2 linked regions of the Oryctolagus cuniculus genome follow. The protein of the gene in region 1 interacts with the protein of each later gene in a pairwise test. Links are inferred from orthologs where the notes say so. Each region holds a gene or a part of one and is shown on either strand. Other genes may lie near its edges. The genes, in order: PLIN1 and ABHD5.

Region 1 (3,802 bases):
CTCCTGGGCTGCACCTGACGCCCTACTGCCCACAGGGCCTCTCCGCTCATAGTCCCATCTGCCTTCCTATAGGCTGATAGCCATGGTTGATCTTCCTGCCACAAGTCATACCCTGAAATAATTTGCCTTTCTCTTCATTAACCTGGGAGCTCCTTTGTGACAAAGATACTGCCCTTAACCTGGAAAGATGGGGGAGTGGAGAGCACAGGTCCCAGGCAGAGGTGCACCTGCCAGGCTCCACTGCAGGTGGTTGCCTCTGAACTCTGGGGACGTGGCCCCTTCCCCAGAGAGTGGGCGAGGGGGTCAGTGGGAGAGCTCATGCCGTGGGGCTGGGGGCTCGGACAGTGCCTGGGTGGGTGGATGGATGAGGTCAGAGACGGAAGCTCATTCCCCCACGGGCAGCTGCTCCGTGAGTATGGCTCCCTGTGAAGGGACCTGCTCGGGCTCTGGGCCGTCAAGGCTGGGAGCTCTCGCAGACACTGCATTCTGTCTTCCCGATGCATGTGACTCCCAGAGGGCCCCACTCCGACTTTCTGCTTGAGTTTGCCTTTGGGCTTGTGCCTGCTGCTCCGGGAAAAACCTGTGTCCGTTTGACTCCAAGGGCAGGGAAAGCAGCCACTGTGCGGCTGTAGGGGCCTCCCCCAGCCTGGAGGGAGTCCAGCGCCAGTGCACCCGAGGGCGAGGCAGGCACGGGGGTCGAGCAGGGGGCTCACCTTCTCCGGAGGGTACTGGAGGGCGGGGATCCTCTCCTCCAGGTGGTCCAGGCCTCGGCAGGCCAGCTCATTGGCAGCCGTGACTGGAAGGGAAGGACCATGTTGGGGTGGGGGTGGGGTGGGGGTGCGGCCCCACTGTAAGAACCTAGCAGTGGCCTCTGGGCCAGAGGCAGCTCCTCAGAGCCCTGGGGGCCCAGCCCTGTTGCCTCCCAGGTGTCCTTGACCCTGAGCCCTTTGCCGTCAGTAGCCCCGACCTGCGCTGGGACGGGCCCACACTCCAAGCTCAGCTCCCACCTCCACACAGTGTGTGGCCTCAGGTGAGCCACAGCCTGTGTGTGCCTCGGCTTCCTCACAGCTCCCTCCCTCCCTGGCTGCCCAGGGGCTCGGCCTGGGTGGCAGGAAGAGGCAGCACGGAGGTGTGGGTGGGAGGCAGGGCCTTGGTGGCACCAGTCTGGGGCTGCTTAATCCTAGTGGTGACACTGTCAGCAACAGCTGCCATGGGCTCTCCACAGCCCTTGCCTTTTTTTTTTTTTTGACAGGCAGAGTGGACGGTGAGAGAGAGAGTGAGACAGAGAGAAAGGTCTTCCTTTGCCGTTGGTTCACCCTCCAATGGCTGGCACACCACGCTGATCTGAAGGCAGGAGCCAGGTGCTTCTCCTGGTCTCCCATGGGGTGCAGGGCCCAAGCACCTGGGCCATCCTCCACTGCCTTCCCAGGCTACAGCAGAGAGCTGGCAGAGAGCTGGCCTGGAAGAGGGGCAACCGGGAAAGAATCCGGCGCCCGGACCGGGACTAGAACCCGGTGTGCCGGTGCCGCTAGGTGGAGGATTAGCCTAGTGAGCCACGGCGCCGGCCAAGAGATGCTCTTTCATACATGCCATCTCCGGGCATCTTATCTTCCTTCAGAGAAAGCTCAAGCCCTGGTGACTGGGCTGTCTCGGGACTGGGAAAGGGTGGAGGGAGGGAGGCCAGCCCAGGGCCAGGGGCCTTCACCCGCCCTCCTCTCCTGTGGGCTGGGTGAGAGCCTCAGATCCCCCTCATTCTCCAGCCAGCAGCGAGGAGGGAGCCAGACTTCTCAGCGCTGCTGGGAGTTCCCTCAGCCCCATCGAGAGCCACGGCTTGGAGAATTCACTTCAAGTTGGGCTGAGCAATTTGAAGGGACAGGGCCGCTAGGGCTTGATGGACAGCCGTCTTCCCGTCCTGGTCCCTGGCTGATGGCCCTCTGCTGCCCCCACGTGCCAGGAGCTGGTATCACCAGCTGTGGGGCTCAGCCAATGCCCCCCCTTCCCAGCACTGGTGCCCACCAGTCCTGCTGTTGGAGCCACTGGATTCGTAGTGAGAGCAGGTGTCTGACCTGCCACGGGCCCCCGTCTCACCATCGCCACTTAGCCCCGCCCACCCCTCCCCCTGCCAGTTCTTTGCCCCGTCATTGTCATCCCAGGTGACAGCCAGCTGGGTAATGATGGGGCATCTATCTACACAAGGACAGGGAGCTATATTTACATCTTTGTGTCTCTACGTGAGAAGACCGTGGAATGGGATGTAGGCCTGGGTAGGCGGTCGGGTAGACAGACAAGTTATCAGGTGATGGGACAGCCAGACGGGGGACAGACAGCCGCGAGTGTCAGTGAGGACTCACACTGGGTGGACAGCCTGCGGACCACTGGCTCCATACTCCAGGCAGCCAGGCTGCTGGCGCTCTGCACGCCCTTCTCGTAGGCATTGCACACGGACGCCACCAGGGGATGGGCTTCCTTGGTGCTGGCGTAGGTCTTCTGGAAGCACTGGCACGTGCCGCTCACCACCGGCAGCTGCAGCACCCGCTGTAGCGCGTTCTCTTGCTCCTGCCAGGGAAGGAACCCATTCGCGTTGTTGTCGCACCTCTCTCTCCAGCCTTCTGGGAAGGTGAGCCCAGGCTGGGGAGCCCATAGTGAGTCACTGAGCCTAAGTGACCTGGGAGGAACCAAGGCCAAAGAGGTCTCCGGATGCCAACAGTCACGGGGACACGGGGAGCCACAGGGAAGGTAAGATGCACCTGCAGCGCCTCAAGGTCACGAGCCAGGCTTTGGAGTGCTGCAGAGACAGAGGCAGCCCCTGTCCTCCTCCCTGGCCACCCCTCCTGAACTTGGCAGGAGAGAGCAAGTGTTGCTGCCATATGTGTCTGGCGTTTTGGTTCACCTTGCACCGGTGGCCTCGCCTGAACACTTGTCCGGTTGTCTGGAACACTGCCCCCTGCCTGTGTGCCCCGGCCCCGGCATCTGGGAGGCTCACCCTCCATCCAGGTCCCCCTCTGCCCAGCCGTGCCCTTTCCCGCGGGACCCAGCTTGGCCGTCACTGCCCCGTGAACCTCCCAGTCCTCATCCTACACAGCTGCCCCTGGGTGGCCATCCTTGGACCTGCCGTGCTGTGATTTTGTGTATGCTTGGCCCTCTCTCCCAGTGCCTGTCGCTGCTATACCCCCAGATGGCCTGGCCCATAATGTCAGCTCAATAAAGCAGGGCCAAATTAAACAAGCGGGGCTGCACAGAGCAGAATGGGAAAGCTCAGATCTTGGGCCTCCAGGGGGCGTGCAGTAGGAAGCCCCGCCCCACTCCCCTGGAAGGCTCCCCTCTCTTGGAGAGGAGGGGCGCACTTGTCCTCAGAGAGAGAGGCCTGCGCCCCTTGTCGGCCAGCGCCCCTTGTCGGCCAGCTCTGAGGGCCCGAAATCCACCTCCAGCCCTCAGCCCACCTTCTGCCCCTGGAGCAGCACTGGGCAAGCCTATTTCATCCCTCATGGTTGGCTCTTCCTGTAGTTGAAGCTAAAAGTGTCACCCATAAGAGGTCCCTTCTCCACGCTAAGGAGCTCCAGGTCCCAACCTGTGTTTGTTTTTTTTTTGTTTTGTTTTTGTTTTTGTTTTTGTTTTTGACAGGCAGAGTGGACAGAGAGAGAGACAGAGAGAAAGGTCTTCCTTTACCGTTGGTTCACCCTCCAATGGCTGCTGTGGCCGGCGCGCTGCGCTGATCCAAAGCCAGGAGCCAGGTGCCTCTCCTGGTCTCCCATGCGGGTGCAGGGCCCAAGCACTTGGGCCATCCTCCACTGCACTCCCGGGC
Region 2 (4,293 bases), on another chromosome or scaffold:
GGTATTTGGGGCAATAAAATTGTGAGGGTTGTGAAAAGGTGACAGCACAGTTGTGACTCTGGATGACAAAAAGGTTAACTGCCCTGATAAAAACAGAAAAATCCAGCGGAAGAGCTGAGCTTTTTGTGCTGTTTACTTTGCTGGAGGGAAGGCCCAAGGCAGCTGCTAGACGGCGTGAAGTTTGAGGAATCAGGTGCAAACACACCTGACAAACAGAAGCATCACCGTGTACAGAAGAGATTCGGAAAGCAAACGAGATCTCAGTCCCGTTCACAGACAAGCAGTTCAAGGAGTGTGAATAACAACACAACAAAACCAAGGACGAAGTGCTATACTCAGAAACAGGAAAAGAAGAGAATCTAATAAAAGTGACTCTTTGTCTAAGGTAAGAAGGAAAACTGAAGGGCTGGAATGTCCAATAAAAGTTTCAAAAAGGAAGCCGCTATCATTACAGTATCTAACACTGAACAGGACCCAGGAAAGTTAAGTACTGAGAAAAACAAAAGGCCAGTGGGGTACAGCACTGAAATTTTGTAAAAATTTTGTTTAACAAGTCAGGTTTTAAGAAGGCAAGGGTTTCAGAAGGGGAGGAGGAAGGAAGATAAAGATCTTGATTTAAAAAAAAAAAAAGAGAGAGAGAGAGAGAATCCTTTATACCTTATTTGTAGCACCTGATGATTTCTTTGGTATAAATACCATGGCCAATTTCAAGCTGCCAAAGGTTGAAAAAAATTACTGAAAATTTTAGCAATGGCTTTCTGGTACAAATCAACTCCAGCTCACGACCTCTTCTTTTGTCTACCCTGCAAATGAGCAATTCTGTGACAATTTCCCTTTAAACTCAACTGGAAAGGAGTTCTCAGCTTAGAGTCTGCTGAACTTAGTAACACATCTGGTATTCTGGGCAATAAAATTGTGAGGGTTGTGAAAAGGTGACAGCACAGTTGTGACTCTGGATGACAAAAATGTCTTCACCATTTTCTAGGATAAGCTTACAACAATTCACAGAAGTCTAAACTATTCTGGTTACATTTAGCAACTCTAGGAACTTGGATGTTGAAAGTCAAACGCTCCCTGGAATGCCCATCTTCACTAGGAGCCACAAGGGAATACACAAGAATTATATGCTGCAAATAACTGTTTTACAGTTGTTCCCTTTGCTAACATCACATCCCCATCTAAACCCAAAATGTCTTAAGGACGGGGAACTTGATTCAAAACAAGAGCCGAACATCTGTGTTCTAATCCAAATGAGAGGCTGCAGAAATATGGGGGAAATGCCTCGGCCTGAATTCAGACAGCCAAAGGACTCCAATCCAGCCAGCGCCACGACTTGGGAAGCAGTTCCAACTGCAAAATGGGAACAGAGTATCCGGGGCACAAGCTGCCCCTTAGGTTCAACATGGAAATGTCTGGGCAGCATCCAGCAGGGGCTAGAGCTTAGTCTTCCCTGTCTGCCTGTGGGACAGTTCAGGAGGCCATAACCAGCATGGACACCGGACCCTGCTCAAGTGCACAGCCACCACCACCGGGGAGGCCCACCTCTGTCTAGGGACAGCTGGTTACATGCTAATGATTTTGCACAATCTGCCTCCAGTGACCTGCAACCGTCACCCAAAGCCATAAACCCCGTTCCCGGTGATATCCTGGACGCCCAACACTCACAACAACATGGAGACCAACGAGTTCCCCTCGAAGCACTCTTCTGGAAAGAGCCAACGCTGTCTTTGACAAACCAGATGGGAACACAAGTTACCACGAAGGCTCCTGCTCGCATCTAGGCCACACTCAGCATCCCACCCGCAGTGAACAAGGCAGTGACCCACAAACCAAAACAACGGACCCATTCACCATAAAACAAAACTCAGAGGAAGACCCTGGCGACTGACCATTCATAAGCCTCCCCACGTCTTTCCAAATATCCCTGTCTTCGCTGTTCCTACCATACATCCTATCAGGTCAGGCTGCCTATGCAAGCTGCTTCTTCAAACATCTGAAGCCGAAGTGCTGTCTACATATGAAACACGCACGGGGGCGGGGGGGGGGGGGTCCACACTTCCCCCCTCCCCTAATATACACGAGCAGCCTTGGCAAACAAGGCAAGGACCTTCACAGCCATTTAACTTTTCCACTAACGCTTCCTGCTAACAAGTGCTTGGAGTTAATCCCAACTCAGGACCTACCCTCAACTTTCACAGTTTCACGTACCCGTCGTCCTCTCCAGACAGAACCACAACAGGGGCACAAAATAAGTTAATTAATTAAATAAATAAAATTTTTAAAAAGGCAAGGCGGAGCTGGGAGGCTGATCTACTTCTGAAAGATCAATGATCCCTTCTGAGCTGGTTATCCGCTCCCAAGTGTCAACTTTCTATCAGTCCGCGCCGCCCGTACGCCGAGCCAGGCGCCCACTCCCCACCGAGCCCCTAGCCCTCCACCCCGGCCCCAGGGCACTTTCGGAGGCTGGACAGAGACAGCGCCCACTAACGCCCCCAGCTCCTCCGAGGCGGGCCAAGCGCCTCGGCCATTTCCGGGCCACCCAGTCAGGTGCGGGGTCACCGGGGCACACCCGGGGTTCCCCGGGGCGGAGGGCCAGCGCGGGTGTGGACGTCGCGGTCACCTCGCCGCCAGCCCCTCGGGGCGGCTTTACCCAACCGCACGAGGGCAGCCCCCCGGTGTGGGCGGCCCAGGCGGCCGCAGACAAGCCCGGCGCTTGAAGGTGCCCGCGCGGGGCTTCTCCTCCCGGCTCGCGGGCTCGCGTCGGGCAGCGGCCAGACGTCGCCAAGCGCTTCTCGGTGCTGCCCACTGGGCCGGGCCCCTGCCCGTGCGGAGGACGCGCGCTGGGGACCCACGCAGCCCCACACTCCTCACCCTCCGTTCCCCAGCCGCATTCACCTCTCGCCGGTGTCCGCCGAGTCCACCTCCTCCTCCTCCGACGCCATGGCCGCCGCTGCGCAAGCGCCGGACAGCGTCTCCAAGCCGGCTGACAAGCCGACTGGGCCGCCCAGGGCCGCCGCCGCCGCCCTTAATGCTGCGCCGACTGCGCATGCGTCGGCTGTCCACCGGCAGCTGCGGGCGGTGCCACAGCGCGCTTGCGCGAGCCGGGCCGCTCCGCCAGCTGCGCATGCGTCCTCGCGCCGGGAGCGCTGCTGTACGGCCGCTGGGCAAGGCAGGCAGGCTAGTGGACCTGGTGATACTGGCTCTGCCGAGTTAGGTAGTAAGGTAACTTCGTATAATGACTGTATTGATGCATCATCCCTCTGGCCTTGCCTGTCAGGTGCTGGACGCTGAGAGCCAAGGAACGACCTAGTCCCTGGGAGAACCTACATAGATTTTCTCCGCTGGGCAATGGAAATGCTACTTTGCGCGGGTGGGTGGCCGAGGCGATAGGGCGACTCGCAGGAGCCTCCAGCCAATCAGTATTCTCTGCTGTAATGCTGGGGAGACACCCCCATTAGTAACCACCTCCCCACACCCTTCTTAGGAGAGCTGAGGTCCGAGTCCGGAGGTGTCAGGTTCCTGATAGGGTATCTCTGATGTCACTGTCAGCATCTGTAGCCTCTTAGCCATCGGAGACAGCCTGCTTGTGTAATGACAGCGCTTGCCACCATCCATCCACTCCTCCAGTTTGCCTGACTTCGTGCCCACTGTTTTCTAGGCGCTGGGGAAGCGGCGATTAGATAGGCCTGCTGCCTGTAGGGAGCCCACGCTAACATGTCCCCTTTTCCTTTAGATGCCGTAGAGCTCTCTCTGTCTCCGTCTGTTGGGTGCTGCCTAGGACGCGGTAACACAGAGGGAACAGAAGTTCGTTCCTCACGGTTTAGGGGCTGGGAAATCCAGCATCTACCAGCATCCCATGACAGAAGAGCAAGAGAGTAAGCGAGCAAGCGAGCCTGCTTGTCCTTTCCTAGGGATCCCTCTAACGAAATGAGGAGCCTGTTCTCAAGATGCCACATTAAACGCTTTGTGTGTGTGTGGGGGGGGGGGGGGGGTCCCTGTGACCCAAACGCCTCTCTTCCCAACATGGCTGCAACAGAGTAGCATTCTCCTTCTCTGATCGTCTTCTCTCAGGGCAGCCTCTCTCTGCAAACCTGTCTCTGTCATCCCTCTCGCACTCAGAGCCTCAGCCTTGTACAATGGCTGTAGCTTTTTAAGGGACACTATTGAGCCTCCTTCCAGCCAACACTGAAAGTTCCTCAAAGATAGGGATACTCTCCTCTGTGATTTACTCATGTTCTCTTGGGCATAGTAAGATTTCTTTTTCTTTTTTTTTTTTTAAGATTTATTTATTTA

What was found.
Region 2: the proteins of PLIN1 (region 1) and ABHD5 interact in a protein complementation assay, tested with the Homo sapiens proteins (3 studies listed by BioGRID, with this or other methods). The link is inferred for Oryctolagus cuniculus from reciprocal best matches to the Homo sapiens genes PLIN1 and ABHD5.

The regions. Positions count from the first base shown.
Region 1 is NC_091443.1:99,744,181-99,747,982, forward strand, and holds part of PLIN1 (perilipin-1), read right to left. Parts: intron 2,557-3,802; coding exon 2,352-2,556; intron 797-2,351; coding exon 714-796; intron 1-713. UniProt on the Homo sapiens protein: Modulator of adipocyte lipid metabolism. Coats lipid storage droplets to protect them from breakdown by hormone-sensitive lipase (HSL). Its absence may result in leanness. Plays a role in unilocular lipid droplet formation by activating CIDEC.
Region 2 is NC_091441.1:104,510,359-104,514,651, forward strand, and holds the start of ABHD5 (1-acylglycerol-3-phosphate O-acyltransferase ABHD5), read right to left. Parts: upstream 3,030-4,293; 5' UTR 2,943-3,029; coding exon 2,896-2,942; intron 1,721-2,895; exon of another isoform or gene 1,674-1,720; coding exon of another isoform or gene 1,666-1,673; intron 1-1,665. UniProt on the Homo sapiens protein: Coenzyme A-dependent lysophosphatidic acid acyltransferase that catalyzes the transfer of an acyl group on a lysophosphatidic acid.